Linked DNA regions of Cricetulus griseus. The protein of the gene in region 1 interacts with the protein of each later gene in a biochemical or structural test. Links are inferred from orthologs where the notes say so. Each region holds a gene or a part of one and is shown on either strand. Other genes may lie near its edges.

Region 1 (5,784 bases):
CAGAAGGAATTTATAAAGAAATATACTTGTGGGCTGGAGAGATGGCTCAGAGGTTAAGAGCACTGCTTACTCTTCCAGAGGTCCTGAGTTCAATTCCCAGGAACCACATGGTGGTTCACAACCATCTATAATGAGATCTGGTGCCCTCTTCTGACCTGCAGGCATACATGTAAGAATACTGCATACATGATAAATAAATAAATCTTAAAAAACAAAAAGAAAACTACTTGCATAAATAGATCTCTCAAAAGAGATTCTAAAAGAACTTGGACAACCCTTACATGGTTCGAATGGAAGATCCATATATAAAAGCCTCCCAACAAGTACATGAATTAAGTTAGGCATGGTGGTTCCCACTTGCAATTCCAGCACCTGGGAGGCCAAAGCAGAACTTTGGGAAGTTCAAGACCAGGCTAGGCTACAAAGCAACACCTTGTCTAAAAAAAGCAAAACAAACAAACACACATAAAGCCCTGGGCTAGAGGTTTTCTCTAGGGAAGAATACTTGTTCAGTATGTGACAAAACATTAAATAACATCTCCAGCACTATAAAAAATAAACCACCACAGAATTAAAATGGAGCCTAATGGGATGTGGCTCAGCAGTAGACTTTGAACATCTGTGAGGCCTTGGAGCCAATCCCAATCCCATGCTCTCAAACAGGCCACAAATTCAGAAAGACCCTGTCTCAAATAAACAAAACAAAACCAAACAGACAAACAAAAGGGTCACAAATTACCACACAAATCAGAAGCCATAGAAGTACTACAGGAACCCAGTCCCATAGGATGATTCAAACAGAAGGCTGCAAGCCATTGCAATTTCTCAAATGGACCAGAGACAGTAAGTTTGAAGCACTGTAATTTACTAGAAATAAAGCTTTTAGCACCTACATGCAAATTAAGCAATCTCTCTCAGAAAGCAATTTTTAAAGGCCCTGTTCTAAACTGAGTACAGTAGCACATGCCTATAAATTCCAGTCTGGAGACACAGATGGGAAGATGAACCCAAGTCCCAGACCAGCCAGACTACATAGTGGGACCCTGCCTGTCCTAAGCAAGCAAGCGACCAAAGCCCTGTTCTAAATGAATAGTCTACAGTTCTAATGTTCATCTCTCTGTGGACAGCACTCTGGAGCACAGTCTTATCCTCTCCAGACAGTTTACCGAGGGAACTCCTGAAGGTTCCATCGTTACATAAAAAGCTGTGCCAGGCTGTGCCACATCAACCGCAAACGGAGCGTGAGCACAGCAGCGCTGAAAGTGAGGCAGCACTTCACACACACTCTGGACTACTTACTTGAATAGAGAAAAAGCCACTGTCGTCCATATTTCCAGAAGGCTGCTGTTCAATTTTCATGGGCAGTTGTGGGCAGAGGGATGGGAAAAGGATTAAAAACTGTCATTAGTGTGCACATTTACAAGAACATGCTGTACAGTCCCATTTACCAAGAGAAGAGCAGAGTTATAATTAACAAGTCAGACTCCGAAGGGGAGAATGGCTCATCCTCCTTTAAAGAACACCCGCATGTTAAAAATAAACGGGATTTGGTAAGTCTGAAATCAGTACCTGTAAAAATGTGCGATAGTCTTCACTAGTAACTCCTCCTTCTGCCATTCTCATCCTTTCTTCTTCATCGAGCTGGTGTGCAATTGAGGACAACTCCACGGGGCTAAAATACTCCCCTTGCAATAGATTATTCAGGCAATGCTGAGCACAAAGTGAGCCTTCTTGCTAGTGTTTCCAAAAGAATAAATTGAAATGTGATTTATTAAGCAGATTTATATAGTATCTTCTAAAAAATTTAATTATAACTTTTTAATACAGTCAAACATTATTAGCCTTAGGCAAACCCGATTTACAGGTATATGCATTTTCATTTGTCCACACTTATTTTACAGCCATTTAACTATAGGAACAAAAATGAAGAATGATTTACAGTATAACTTCATCTATCCCATCTCATATAAGCCTAAAAGTGGCCCTATAAAAACATTTAGCCTTTTGAATGTTTTAGTACCTACAAGAATTCGTCTTTTGAGATTCCATGACAAATTACTTCTGGAAAAAGGGAATGTTATCTCCTAGAACATTCATTCTTCTAACTAGTTTGTTGCTATTTGACCTTAAAAGCCTGTCCTTTCAAACTCAGGAACAAGTGGGAACAATTCTGTTTTGGGTTAAGACCCACAGCTCTAGAGCTGAAGCTCTCATCGGCCGACTTTGCAGACTCATTCCATGTAGCATATAGGAAAGAGAAGTGTCCCAAGCTGACGACAGTCCATACCCATGAGTGGACAGGCTAGCGAGAGGAACTGCGGCCAAGTTTAGCTCCCTAAGGAGTCCTTAGCATCCTCTCCTGGAGGTTGGGTACATCATCCCACAAGTCAAGTGGCTTCTAATGCTGGTTAGCTGGCTTTCATACACAAATGGAACGCACTAACCAATCCAGTCAGCCTGACACTGAGCAGCCTTCTTGTCACTCCCCTGCTCCTAACAGTGTTGCTTTCCTAAGCTATGGGTAAAGAGTGGATGAGTCCAGTGGACACAGACCCTAAGCCTGCCTTCTGGGAGGCAGAGGCAGAGAACACTTCCTCTGTTAACTCTGGCTCTCTAAGGGCCAACAAAGCCTACTGAACTCAACCTGCCAGGCATCATGCCCCATGGTCTAAGCTGTTACATGACAAGTGATGACTCCAAAGCACACCTTACAAGATTCACTTTCCCCTGATGAATCAAGGTTATAGGAACAAAATGTAACTGCTGAAGTAGATATAGTACACATGTCTGTCATGGAACAGGCAGAGTTCAGAGAACTTACATCTGACACACAGCTAGAGCAAGCTTATGTTCACAGTCTGCCAAGGCATGTTGCCTAGGGTGGCTTGGAGCTAGTTAAGTATCCCTTCAAGTTGCAGTCACATGGTAACAGAATTCTTTATCTCTGCCTTGTTTTCCTTCTACTGTCCATCTACTGCTAGGAGCAACTTTTACTGAATACCACCCACTACGAGGTAGAAACGTACAGATGTTCTACTTATACCCTATTGAAAATGCAAACATTTCACAAGATAGTCAAGAGGCAAAAAAAAAAAAAAAAAAAAAAAAAAAAAAAAAAAAGATCTCAACTTCTGTAGTCATCATGGACATGTGTATCAAAACCGTAGCACAGGACAAGAGGTGGCTTAGCAGGTGAAGGTGCCCACTGTAAATCCCCAGATGCTACTGTAGAAAGAGAGAATGACTCCTGGGTACTTGCCCTCTGACCTCCACATGCACACCTGGCCATCTGCATGCCAGCACTAGCATGCATGTCACACACACACACACACACTAAAACAATGATTTTTAAATATTATACTTATTAATTGATTGGCTGGAGGGGATGCAGAGGACAACTTGAAGAATTCAATTTTCTCCTTCCATAATGTGAGTCCCAAGGACCGAACTCAGGTTTTAAGGATTGGCAGTACGTGCTTTACTTGCTGAGCTATCTTTCCAGGCCCTAAAAAATGTTTTTGTTGTTTTTCAGACACGGTCTCACTTTGTAGCTCTGGAACTCACTATGTAAACCAAGCTGGCCTCAAACTCATACAAATCTGTTTGCCTCTGTCTCCAAGTGCTGGGATTAAAGGCATGCACCACCACACCTAGCTAAAAATTGTATCTTTTTTTAAAGATTTTATTTATTTATTATGTATACAAAATTCTGCTGCCATGTATATCTGCACACCAGAAGAGGGCACCAGACCTCATAACAGATGGTTGTGAGCCACCATGTGGTTGCTGGGAATTGAACTCAGGACCTCTGGAAGAGCAGTCGGTGCTCTTAACCTCTGAGCCATCTCTCCAGCCCTAAAAATTGTATTTTTTTAAAAGATTTTATTTATTTATTTATTATGTATACAGTCTTCTGCCTGCATGCAGGCAGATGGCACCAGATCTCATTCAAGGCGGTTGTGAGCCACCACCATGTGGTTGCTGGGAATTGAACTCAGGACCTCTGGAAGAACAGTCAGTGCTCTTAACCGCTGAGCCATCTCTCCAGCCCCCAAAAGTTGTATTTTTATAAAAGAAAATTTACAATGTGTTACTATTATCCAGTCTCTGGGTCAGCTATTACAGAGGAGAGGTTTAGAATTATAGAAAATGGTTGTCACAGGAGTTAAGTATAACCTCGGGAAAGCACTCTCCAGTAACTTTCATCTCTACCAGAGCTCATCCATGTGCTCTGCTGTTACACACAGACACTGCAAACGCACTCACCAAAGCACTACTTGTATGCTTCCAAACTGGAAAGCACCCCAACACAGTCTAGATCACAAAAGTGTACTTCCAAAAGAACAGTATAGAAGGATAAAAGTAAATTAAATACAAGTAGCTGCAACAATGTGGATGAATCTCTCAAATACTCTTAAAAAATAAACACACACACACACACACACACACACACACACATAACACTAAAAAAAAGTAGACACAGGAGGTAAGGATGTAGCTAGTGTATGCAAGCCCCTGGGTTCGATCCCCACTACCCCCCCATCCCCCCCAACAAAGACAACAAAAATATATGTGGGGGAAGAGCCTAGTGAACCTATTTAAAGTAGAAGAGAACATTCCACAAAGCTTTCCACTGATCTCTCTCCATGCACAGTGGTGCATGTGTCCACCCATACAACATATCACGCAGAGACACACAATAACAATGAAAGGTGCTTACAAACAGTCGAAATGAATCTCTTAATCTTCAATGGTAGAATTAAGCAAGCACTGGAAGGGCTAGTCCCCCTCTAAGGGGACTGAGAGGAGGTGATTTCATCTTAGGACTGTTTCCATGTGTGCTTCCTTGACTGCACACCCTAGCGACTCATGTGTTCTTATGTATGACATACCTGATTTAAAACATTCAGACAAGGCCAGGTGGTAGCGGCGCATACCAGGGATGTTCTGCACACCTTCGATTCCAGCACTTGGGAGGCAGGGATGTCTATGAGTTCAAGGCCAGCCTAGTCTAAAAGCAAGTTCCAGGACAGTCAGGGCTACACAGAGAAACACTGTCTCAAAAAACAAACAAAAACAAAAACAAAACAAAACAAAACAAACAAAACCATTCAGTCAAGGCCAGGCATGGCAGTGCATACCTTTAATCCCAGCACTCAAGAGGCAGAGAAAGGTGTATATCCATAAGTTCCTGGCCAGTCACCTACATAGTGAGATCCCATCTCAAAAAGAAAAGAAAAGAAATCAAGAAGTATCTAACATGGCAACCAGACACTCAACTTTGGGAAGCAGCTGTGATGCTCTTCAGTCCAACTGCTAGGCAATACACTTCAGTGTAGGGTTCTTAAACTACAGTCACCATATTCTTTAAAGACATTTTTATTTTTATGTGTATAGGTGTTTTGCCTGCATCTATGTCTGCATTGTGTACAAGTCTTGGCATTCGTGGAGACCAGAAGAAGGGGTTGGATCTTCTGAGACCAGAGTTGCAGAGGGTTGAGTCATCGTCATATGGGTTGCTGGGTCCTCTGAAGAGCAGCCAGTGCTTGGAATCATGGAGCCATCTCCCTCACCCCCTGGTAACCATATTTAATATATAGAAATATTAACATCAAAAGTTTTGATAAAAAATTCTTGCTATTAAAGATTGGGGATTTGGAGGCAGGAGAAACAGTTCAGCAGGTAAAAACACTTGCTGATCTTGCAGGGAATTTGGGTTTGGTTCCTAGCATCTATGGGGGAACTCACAACTAGCTGTAATTCCAGTCCTAAGGGACCTGATGC
Region 2 (5,784 bases), about 92 Mb from region 1:
TGTGAATGATAGGCCCGAGCCTACCTCTGAGCTACATCTTCAGACCCACCAACAAAGCTTTATGTTGTATGGTATAGAACGAGGCTCAACACAAAACAGGTAAGGAGGTGCGGCCATGAAGTGGTACCTGCTTCTTCCAAGGCTTTCCGCATCTCGTAGGAGTTCATGGTTCCAGACCTGTCAACATCGATTTCCCGGTAAATTTTCTGGAACACACAAAATTCGTATTAGAACCATGACCCAAAGCAACACAGCTGTGGAGGTTCCTGTGAGGTGTGTGTGAAGCTGTGAGGAGCTTCCATCTCCCCGCCTCTAGGCTGGCCTTACTAGGACCCCTCTCCCTTTCAATCGTTAGTAGTGAGGTGGTTCTCAACCTTCCTGATGCTGTGACCCTTTAACACAGTTCCTCATGTTGCAGTGACGCCCAACATAAAATTATTGTCATTGCTACTTTAGAACTGTAGTTTTGCTACTGTTACAAAACGGTAAATATCTGATATGCAACCCTTGTGAAAGGGTCACTCAAACCCCAACCGGGTCGTGACCCGCAGGTTGGGAACTGTGTTACTAGAGCTGTTGCCTTTTTCTATGTGCTGACTTTGTAATGTGCCCACCAAATCGCCTAGCCCGTCAGCACAGGCCGATGCTATGCTTTACATACGAACGGCCACACAGCCAAACTACAAGAGGCCAGGCAGCCTTTCCAGGAAACTGTTGACAGTGGCCTCATTCCTGGTCATTAGTCAGGCAAAGGAAAGGCTAAGACTGCCTTCCTGGCAAAGCCCTTGCTTTGTGTGTTTTTTGTAGCCAGGTCTTTACTCCTTCTGAGTTCCACTCTGGATAAAGTCCAATTCCCTTGGAAATGTTCCCCCACCCTCCAGAGGAGTGACATTTTAAAGTCTGTGTCTGGAATATCCCCCAACACTGATCTACCCACCCCAGGGTCCCCAGGACCCTACTTGGTATTTCTGAATCTTCGTCCAGAGGATGTAGAACTCCTTCAGCCCCAGCTTGCCACTCCCATCTTCCTGCCCTCAGTCAAGGAAAGCTCCTGGAGTATGTGGTCACTGGGTACAGTGGCATCTGCTTGGCCTGAGGGCTGGCTCTCCCAGTACTTCCAACACATGCACAGAGACATTTTGTAGAAGGCTCTGCCTTCTGCCTTTTGTACTCACGAGTTTCCTCAAAAGGGCAGCGGGAAGGGAGTGATGGAGACCCCAGATCTTGCCAACAGTTTGTTATGAGATGACAGATGACTGGGACCGTGAGAATTATTGGGTATTTTTAAGGTGTCTTGTGAAGGGAGCTGCTGTGTCGTAGGTACATGCCTTGTGGCCAGCAGATAGTGTCACAGAAACTTGAACTGTTCTGTTACTGAGGGAACCAGTAACAAGAGGGAGCATGGTTAGTCTGCTTCAGGGACAGGTGGGTGGCCCAGGGGGAGCTAGACCAAGGAGAAAGAATGACAACGTAGGCAGGCCTTCAGCTTCAGGTCTGGAAAACTTTTTTTTTTCAGACAGTCTTGCTATGTAGCCCAGGCTGGCTTCAAAGTGGAAATCCTTCTGCCTCAACACCACCATGTGCTAGAATGAACAGAAGTGTCTAGCCATACATGGTTTTAGAAGGGAACCTTGCCACAGACACAGTCATATCAGGCACACGATGGGTTAGGGAAGCTCTACTTTGGAAAAGCAGGAGAACCCTGTTCAAGAAGCTGCCCAGGCTGCTCTGGGCAGGATGGTGGGTGCATGTCCAGGGATTCTAGCCGAGGACCTAGTAGGCTGTCTGTTATACTCTGAGCCTATGAAGGCAGAGTCGAGTGGGCTAGTCTCCGTTCTGAGCCATTAAAGGATACATCTAGCATGTCCACCATGATTTTACAGGTCTCAATGCTGAAGCCATCTGACTTGATATCTTGGCCTAAAAGACAAAAGAGACCTGTTAGTAAAGCTTCTGGACCAGTACTATCTGACAGAACTTTCTACAAAGGTAGACACGTCCTTCCTCTGTGCCGGCCACTACCAAAGCCCTGTGGATAGCTTTGGCCAGGTGTGGTAGTTGGCTGTCAAAATGGGGCAGCACAGGGAATCCTACATTGCTGGCTTTCTCTGTATAACTACCATGGACAAACAGGGCTTTAATATTAAAATAAACAAGTAAAGGAATTTAAAAAATTACTCGGCTGGGTTTTTTTGTTTTGTTTTGTTTTGTTTTGTTTTTGTTTTGTTTTTGGACGGAGCCTTGCTTTCAAGCTCAGGCAGACTTCAAATTCATACTTCTGCCTCATAAATAGTGGAGGTGTGTGCTACCCAACCTGATCATGGCTGAACCTTTAAATGCTGACAGGTGGAAAACTGTCTGTGGTCGAGTGCAGCCAGAGAGCACATGTGTTCATTGTAGGCTCTGAGCAGAGAGAGGAAGGTGGCTGTTTCCATCTGTCCATCTGCAGACAGTTGTGTCTGTGTCCCAGCAGACCGAGAAATCTGAGGACCTAGAACCTACTGCACTTTACTAGGTGAGTCCTGGGCCATTGGTGGTCTGAGACTCTAGTCACACCCCCCCCCCCATAGACTTCATGAGGAGTGTGTGTGTGTGTGTGTGTGTGTGTGTGTGTGTGTGTGTGTGTGTGTATGATGGTAATGTGTGTATGACAGGTGTGTATGCATGTGTATTAGTATAGATGAGTGGTACCACGGCACATGTGTGGAGTCATAGGACAGCCTTGGGTGTCAGCCCTTACCTTGTTTGAGACAGGGTCTCTGTTGTTAAGCCCCATGTATGCTAGATTGGCCTACAAGCTTCTGGGACCTCTGTGCCCATCATCTGCACTGACTTAGCCTTTTCTCACCAACTAGTCATTACAAGAATTTCCATTTACAGCATGCAGGCTCTGGACCAGGTAGATTTTACGTAATGTCCAGCCACTGGGAAGAGGGAGTCATACGTAGGGTGTCTGTTTTGCAGATAAGGGTTAAAAAGTCAGACAGGTGATCTGTGTGATGTCATTTACTCAGAGAGCTTGTAAGTAGAAGAATTTGGATTTGACCTGTCATCTCTAGACCCAGAAACCCTTGCTCTGTACCATTACGTCACACACCTCCTCTGTCCCACTCTTCCCGGTGCTGGGAGTGCAAAGGCAACAGCTCATGTAGGAGCAGAGAGGGCTGGCTTAGCCGTAGCAGCTGACGTGTGCTTGAAGCAAGGAGTCCCTCATGTCTGCGGGGATAGGAGTAGGATGAGGGATGTGCGCAGGGGACACTTACGCCTGGCTAGAACTCTTCTCAAGATGGTCTGCAGCTCAAAGGCAGAGATCTCCGCATCCTGTGGACATAGGAGCCGACCATCGTTATGGCTCCCATGGGAGCTGGGTGACCCGCAGTGAACATCTTGGATGAGTCTTGTTGACCTTGCGAATGCCCCAACTGATGTTTTGTCTGTCCCCAGCCTACCCTAAGTAGTGCCCTAGGCTGTATTTAACATACTGTTACAATGTAGGGCACATGCTGGGTGGAGTTAGTCACCCTTTCTATATGGCAGGGAACACGTTCACGGTCTTCCTCAGCCTAATTCTCCCACGCCACCCCTCCTGCAGGGTCTTATCTACCCTCTACAACTTCCTGAAACTGCTTAAGACCAGCCATGGCTCAGCCCTTCTCTGAGGTCATTTGCCAGGGCTCCTCAGAAGTGAGCCAGCTACCTCTGTTCACTTAGGTGTATTTGTGTGATTGGTGTAACCTTGTCCAGGGTGTGTATAGAGGGGCAGGTGTGGTTCAGTTAGTGGAGACTAAGTTTCTCTGAGGACCCTTCCCTTGAGAAATGGGGGTGGGGTGGGGGGTGACACAGCTTGCATCACCCTTTGATGAGTCTGTGGCTAGACAGGAGATGGGCCTCATGGTAACACTGGAGAGAGCCACACAAGGAGAAGGACACTTTGCTTCTGGGGTTGCAGGGAAGAAAGGGCGGACTGGCTTTGTAGAGGGACTGTAGGCTGGGGGACTATTTTAAGAAAAGGACAGTGGTGCTTTGGTAGGCACTGCTTCCATTCTGGAGGAATGGGACCCGTCCATCTCAGGTGTGTTTATGGGGTCAAGACCAGGAGTTGTGTTTCATGTCTCAGTTGGCACAGAACAGAGGGAACAAAACAGCCTCAAAGTGAGCCAAGAGTCTCAAGGAAAAGCAGAGCCAGGGCCAGGTGAGGCCCTGGGAGTCAGCAGAGGGCTTGAGAGGATGTGAGCAAGGGTCACATCCCTTGGTGTTGGGCTAAGGGTCTCAGGAATGACCAAAAATCTGCTTTTGCTTAGTTTGCTTTCTTTCCCCCTTAAATGAAGTCTCCTCCAGGAAAATCACTTCTTTATGTCAGCAGAATTTTGGTGACACCTACCTCTCCTGCCAGCTGAACAAACAGCCTTCTGAAACCATCGTCAATGTCCTCCTCATTAGCTTCAATCTAGAAGGTGAGGCACAGAAATAGGAAACTCATTAAAGAGAAATTTGATCTGATTGAAGGTGCCCTTTCCCTTTAATGGCAGCCCCCCCCCCACTCTCCAATTTCCAGAGTCTTCCTGCTCCTTAGGCTGGAATTCTAAGGACATTGGGCTTACAGTGAATGGCAGGGTGAAGAGTTAAATATTTTGTTTGGTTTTGAGACAAGATCTCATATAATGCAGCCTGGCCCCATACTCCTTATGTAGTTGAGGATGGTCTTGAACTCCTCATCCTTGTCTCACCCGGCAAGTGCTGGGGTGATAGGTATGTGTCACCACACTTGTCCTTTGAGGATTTTTTCCTTATTTGAGTCAGGGTCTCAAATAGTCTGGGGTAGCCTTGAGGTCACTGCATAGGCAAGGATGCTTTGAACTCCTCATCCTTCAGTCTCTTCAGGGCTGAGATTACAGGTGTGCACCACCGTGCCTAGCTAAGGTTTTGTTTTGTTTGGTTTCTTTTAGCTAAAGCCCATGAGAGGGAGTGGAAACCACATGGCAGGGGAGGTTATGCTTTAACTTCTTGCAATTCCAAGTATCTTTAATATTTAACTAAAACGACCTTGTATGGTCAACTCTGACAGGAACCGAGTGGAATGCTGTGGAACAGTTTGGTCAATGACAAACCGTTTGGTGTTCGACTGGGTACTTAGGACATGCACCAGGCTTCAGCAGCTATGATCCAATCAAAGAGCCACCTCAGGGCCTGAGAGAGAGAGAGAGGGAGAGAGAGAGAGAGAGACAGAGAGAGAGAGAGAGAGAGAGACAGAGAGAGACAGAGACACAGAGACACAGAGAGAGACAGAGACAGAGACAGAGACAGAGAGACAGAGAGAGACACAGAGAGAGACAGAGAGAGACAGAGAGACAGAGAGCAAAAGCCCTTCCTTCTTCTATTTGGTGGTACTTCTTGGATTTGCTAAGATTAGGCCTTGGGTGAAATTCCTCAGTTACATGCCTAAAAGCCCTTCAGGATTTACCACTGAACCAGTCTTAGAACCCTTAGAAACTTGAGAAATCTTGCTATCCTTTGAGTCCATTTTATGGATGATAAAAGTGAGGTTGAACAAGTCTGCTCAATGCAGCATTGGAGTCCTGTCCTTGCCCGCCGACCTCACGCCCTCTGCATGTGGATAAACTGGGCTTTAATGGACAAGAGACTGACTATCTATAGCCTCGCTTTCAAATCCTGTTCCCGAGGTCTAAGAGGCACCCAGGCCCTTGCCACGCTTTTGTTCTGCTGTATTTTATGCCCATCAGCATGAGGAGAATTAGAGAGGTAAGGAAGGAATACCTCTTCAAC
Region 3 (5,784 bases), on another chromosome or scaffold:
AATGGAGTCATTCTCCTTGAGTTCTAGAAACAGCTGCCCTATAGGCAGATGACCCTATTGTGTCACTGGTCCCTAAGTAAGAACAATTGTCCCATGAAGGAACCATGAGGATCCCTAGCCCTCACACCAATTAAGCAGGAGTTGTTATATCATGATAGAAAGAGAACTGGCCCTGGAACAATAGATTTCTCCAGGATCTCACAGAGCCAGCACTGAGAATCATCAGGCCAGAAAGTGAGCAAGGTTGCTTAATTATGCATACCCTTGTGCCTTCCTGCCCCAACCCCTCCTCTATTTAAACTGCAAGCTCACTCATCTCAGAAACCTGAAGTCAGGTCTGAGGATGCTGTTCCCCATTTCCACATCAATGATTAAATTCCTTCCTTGCTTTTCAACATGGCTTTCTCACTTTGGTTTCTGGATTAAGAAGCCAGTCCCCACCACACCAGCTTCTTATGGTTCTATTTAGATGAACACAGAGTTAAACCTAAGTGATAAGATAGCATAGGCAGAAACAGCAGCAGACTGAAGAAGGTATTGGGTGTGTGCACATGGGATTATTCTGCCGTTGTTCTTGTTGAGACAATGAGTAGAGAGGTTGAGTTTTGCTCAAAAATGTAAATGTTTATTTTATTTTTAGAAAGAAAATTTGAATGTCACATTTGTTGGTTGTTCTACTAATATAATGGAGTGATTTGGTCAATAAACATCTTAAAAGTATGAAAAATTAACTGTTTTAGTACTATGTTTTATTTTCAACCATACCCACATGATAATCTTCATGATGAACAGCATGTGTAGTTTTTTATGTTTTTATTTTTATATAAGCCATATTTCACTGAGCATCCATTTGCAACTGACAACTTTTAAAAAAGAGCCTTAACTCTGTATTTGTTGATTTGTTAATATAACAAATACAGACCATTTGTTTTAACTATGGAATTATCATAGGTATGCAACATCACACTTTAAAGACAGCTATTCTTTCTATTTTTCATAACCTCATAAATTTCTGTTACAATCCTGTCTACAGGTGTCATGGAAGGTTCATCTTGAAGCTCACTCACTTCCATGAAGCTATAGAATTGCTCTCTCTTGGCTTCAACAGAATGACATTCGCAGCATAATGCATAAAAACACAGAACAATCTACATCTCAACCAACATCAGAGTACTAATTTGAGGGTCAACATTATGATTCTAGCTTACCCTTTTTATTGTTACAGTAGTAATCTCTTAATGCAGCTTTTCTATTAAGTGACATTTTCTCCACTGTTTATGTTGCACCTTGCTTGCTTGTCCATCAAACTGACCATCATCATAATTCACACCAACACGGCTTGTTTGTGAGTGTTGTCCCTCAAGTATTTATTTTGGCCTCAGCCTCACTTTTTGCTGTGGTAAATCCTTCAACAGGATTTGCAAGCTGAGGGCAGACAAGCTCATGCTGGCTTATGAGGTTGTTTTTATCCTTGTTTCGTCCTTGAGCAACAGTTCTTTGGGTGCTGAATTGTAAGGTCAAGGCACTGCTCTTCGAAGCCGGCTACGGCTCCACTATTTCTATACTCTTGCCTCTCTTGGGAGCTATCCAGGTTGTTGCTCTCATCCAGCCAGCTTCAGCTCCTTTAATTTCAGGACCTCTTTGTCCTGTGTGTTCTTCCCTTTATGAGATGAGCTCACAATTATTTTCATGGTTAGAAACAGTACACCTAACTTCTGGGGCCATCCACCCTTTTATGTAACTACAGCTGGAAACTGTTACTTAAATGTTCTTTGTTGTTGTTGTTCCTTCATCTTTTAACTAGAAGATCACTGATAGTCTTAAAAATCAATTAAACAGTACTTAGGGATTTTAACAAGAGGCATTTTTTATTATTTTGAAGCTTCCATCTTTCTGGCCTTGGGATCCCTGGTGCTAAGAAAGCCATGCTAGTCCAGGCCTATCTATGTCTATGTGGGAGACGAAATAAACTACTCTGGAGAGTTAATTATTGGCTTTTATCTGTATGTACAGACCAAAGTGCTAGGGTTCTGCCATTACTTATTCATCTCAGATAATTAATGCTTAAGGAAATATATTAATATCATCAGCATAACAAAATGATGGCTGTCTGCTAGGGTTTAACTATCCATATCCCCTCTAAACCTAATCACAAATATGATATTAAGACGTGGAAACCTCAGGATCTCAGGGGTAGGATTAATGTCATTAAAAAATGAATTCATGATGGATCACTATAGTCAAACAAGAGAATAGTTCGCCATGAATATATAGACATCTAGATAATATGGAATACAAAATATGTCTCTGGCATGAGGATTATTTTGAGTCATTATTTGAAGAAACAGTGGGCCCATCATTTGTTCTTTCAGGCATAGACATGGTCTTCATCTCTTCAGAGAAAGGCACCAATATGGTGCCGCCTTAGAAATCGATGCTAGGCCCTTCCAGACTCCCAACCTCAGGCCACCTAGGTGTCCCAGCTTCCAAACTGTGAGGAACACTTCCCTGTGCACTAAACATGATCAGTCATCACTAAAGAAATTCACTGAGGCCATGCATTTATTTACCAAGGAAAGTGCTTGAAATGATTATACTGACATCATGACCTGGGGCCAGAGAGTGTGAATGAGAAATTAAAAACACCTTTGATTTTTAAACCTTCTCTGCATCACTGAAAATATAGTCAAAGAAAATACATTTAAGAACCCAAGAAATTAAAGAAAAACAAAGTGTAAGACAGACATGTGTGCTCCTGGTTGTATACCCAAACCCTCACACAGCTTGCCACATGTTTTTACCACCCTACCTCCTCAAAGGAGAAACATAACGCATTGTTCATGGCCCATGCATCCTCAGCATCCTTTATGTCTGCTCTACTCTCACCTCTGTTCTATTGTTCCTACTCACTATTTCATGCACTCCCCTCCCTTCTACAACTGTGTATGCTCGGGACATCCCCCTGCAGTCACTTAAAGATTTTAGCCCCAAACATATCATGAACCAAATGTGTGCAGAGTGAGGACACTCTCTGGAGAGTCAGTTAACAGACAAAATTCTTCAGCAGCATCACTGCAGTTACCTGGATTTCTGGCTGCTTCTGAACCATGCCTGCTGTCTGCATCCAGAATGACCGCCAGTCCCACGGAGTCTGCTGGTAGGATATGGCTACTGAGGTCCACCCTGGTCAAGCTCCTGGGTGCCCATACCGAACCCCCTGAGGTGTCGTGGGGCTTGTCCTCTCCAGATGCATGTGTCTCGTGACTTTTTCTCCCTGGTCTCTGAACAACGTGAACAATGCTCTGCTGTTCCAGGTCACAGCTCTGGGGGAGGGGCAGGCAGAAAGATAAGAACATGGACAGCATTATGTGCAGATAGACCTTAAGTCCTCCTCAGCTTTGGAGTGTACAAACACAGTTAAAGGCTACATAACTTCAACACCTATGAGCACTAGTGGAAAGCAACGCGTGTTCAGTTGACTTAGGAACATCCTGCCGTGGGGTTACAGAACTCACACACTGCATATGACAGGTGGGTAGCATGGAACTGGGGGATAGACGTGGACATCTGAGGGGAAGGGGAACAAGAAAACATAAAACTATGGAAAACATCAGAAGTTTACAGAACCTAGTAGGAAAACAGATCCTAATGCATCTTAAGTACCTGCAAGTAATACCCATTTGAGATGGGTTTTCCTTCTCAGGTTCTTGTCCTTAACTCATTTAATTCAAACACCAGAAGCCATTTCTGCTTTGTGGAAGCTCTGAAGGTTATTATCAGTTCCTGGGCATTTCTCCACAGAATTGCAATGACTGTGCTCGTGGAAAATTGTATACCTTCCTTCCTGTCCCCACAGCCACTGGAAAGCATACTGCAGCACCAGTGGGGAAGCTAGTGAAGGCTGTGTTTGTCCTTCTGCCTACCTCATGATTAAAATCAATGAACATTTACAATAGAACATTTTGTGCTCCTATACTCTTCTTCATGAACAGGAATCTGTAATATTTAGAATAAAACTAAGGGTTGATATTTGCTAAGGTAAGACCTAGACCACCCTAGGTCGAGTCCTAGTTCAGAATAACTAATAGATAGGAGCACCATTCTTCTGAATATTCTAATGGCTAGGATCTGGCTCCCTCACTAATGCCCACATCTCCGTGTTCTTCAGCTTGTTACTACCCTCTTTTGTTGTGGGAATGGTCAACAGATGCCTTGTGCAATACAACTACATAAAGGACACAGTGTAATCTTCCTGCTTTGGTGTCTTCCTCCAGTAATCTCTTCACTGTTGCTATCAAAACCCTTTAAGAACAGTGACCTCTGCCACTCAACTGAATCCACTGCCAAGCACACTGTGGCTTGGTGTTTGCCTTCTCCAGTCAGAAGGTCGTTAGAGTGGTAGCATTCCCATGTTTTACCATCCTCCTGCTCTGGCCTCTGTAACCCTGAGAGGCTTGCTCTGCCCTTAGTCCCAGGGTCCCTCCCACAATGGCTCCTAATGGAGTCTTTCTCTGCTGCGTCTCCTTATCATCCTCTTTCCCCAAGCCACCCTGTCTTTTGCCTTACTTCTGTCAAAGCGCTGCTTGGTACCCTCTATGGCATCTCAGGGGAACCCCTACACCTAGCTTTAATGCTGATTTCCATTCTCTGACACTGGTCAGGCTTCAGTCACTGCATAGCACTTGTCCTCCCTGCCTTGATATATCCCGTAAGGTGTCCAGAGTGACTGATTAGGCACCAGGAATGACCTTCTCATCTTCACTGCCTTCATACCCTCATTGTCACCTCCCCATACTAGGCCTTCATTATTATGATGACTTGGTAATTACTCCCTACATGTCTGGTTTCTGCTGTTACAAGAATCTTTGGTATGTGTGTCATACTATCACATAACTAGTGTGTTTATCCCTTTCTCCTTTCCAGGCCTCGGCCGAGTGCTTTTTATGTCCTTACGTGCACAGAAGGGCCATCCTCCACAAGTATCCATGGCCATGGAGATGCATTAGTAGGCACTCACTATTCTCCCCCCTTACCTGCATCTTAGGTTGAGCCATGTGAATGGCCATTCACTACTGATTTTAGCAGATATGATGGAATCAAGGCTGGAAAATGGTTTTGCCTAGTGCTTCAACAGAATATGCCTGGAAACTCTGTCTCTCCTAAAGCTTGGGAGCCAGAACTGCACATGTGACATAGCCCATGCACAGCTATAGAAGGGGTAAGTGCTGCCTCAAGTGCAGCTGAAGACATCTTCAGACAAAGCTAGCCTTGGCCTCAGCCCCGACCCCCAGATGATATGAAGGTGTGTGAGAACACAGACCTGGAGCAATTGCTCCTGTGGTTCTGTATTTGCTCCTCAGAAAAAAAAGCAGATGACACCCCAACACCCCAATGTCCATTCCCACTGGAGCAGGAGGCATACCATGGCTCTGTACCTTGGAATGGGCACTTATGTAAAACCCAGGAACCTCACACCTATAGCCAGAATCCCAGCAAACCAAGTAGTAGGAAGTGAGCTTCCTGAAGAACAGATACTTGAGAATGGAGTCTCAAAAGGAGGAGAATAGAGTGGAGGAGCCCTCAGCACAGCCATATCCCACACTGACCTCTTCCCCATAAGACACAGGCTTATTCTGTTCTCAGAGTGTGATGTGTGTTTGTGTGTGGTGTGTGTATGTGTGTCTTTGTGTGTGAGTCCAAGATAAGTTAGAAAATGTTTATAGTAGTGACTGATCAAAGTTATATATGTATTATCCAAGGACTCACAGAACATTTTTTTTCAAC

The links. The genes of interacting proteins can lie anywhere in the genome.
Region 2: of the proteins of Atxn3 (region 1) and Capn2, one has a biochemical effect on the other in vitro, tested with the Homo sapiens proteins (2 studies listed by BioGRID). The link is inferred for Cricetulus griseus from reciprocal best matches to the Homo sapiens genes ATXN3 and CAPN2.
Region 3: the proteins of Atxn3 (region 1) and Prkn form a complex in vitro, tested with the Homo sapiens proteins (4 studies listed by BioGRID and IntAct, with this or other methods). The link is inferred for Cricetulus griseus from reciprocal best matches to the Homo sapiens genes ATXN3 and PRKN.

Annotation. Positions count from the first base shown.
Region 1 is NC_048598.1:104,075,180-104,080,963, reverse strand, and holds part of Atxn3 (ataxin-3), read right to left. Parts: intron 5,223-5,784; exon of another isoform or gene 5,142-5,222; intron 5,012-5,141; exon of another isoform or gene 4,893-5,011; intron 1,735-4,892; coding exon 1,570-1,734; intron 1,345-1,569; coding exon 1,300-1,344; intron 1-1,299. UniProt on the Homo sapiens protein: Deubiquitinating enzyme involved in protein homeostasis maintenance, transcription, cytoskeleton regulation, myogenesis and degradation of misfolded chaperone substrates.
Region 2 is NC_048598.1:11,975,854-11,981,637, reverse strand, and holds part of Capn2 (calpain-2 catalytic subunit), read right to left. Parts: coding exon 5,776-5,784; intron 4,448-5,775; coding exon 4,382-4,447; intron 3,322-4,381; coding exon 3,264-3,321; intron 1,921-3,263; coding exon 1,856-1,920; intron 1,029-1,855; coding exon 960-1,028; intron 207-959; coding exon 128-206; intron 1-127. UniProt on the Homo sapiens protein: Calcium-regulated non-lysosomal thiol-protease which catalyzes limited proteolysis of substrates involved in cytoskeletal remodeling and signal transduction. Proteolytically cleaves MYOC at 'Arg-226'.
Region 3 is NC_048595.1:289,628,662-289,634,445, forward strand, and holds part of Prkn (E3 ubiquitin-protein ligase parkin), read right to left. Parts: intron 3,324-5,784; coding exon 3,083-3,323; intron 1-3,082. UniProt on the Homo sapiens protein: Functions within a multiprotein E3 ubiquitin ligase complex, catalyzing the covalent attachment of ubiquitin moieties onto substrate proteins. Substrates include SYT11 and VDAC1.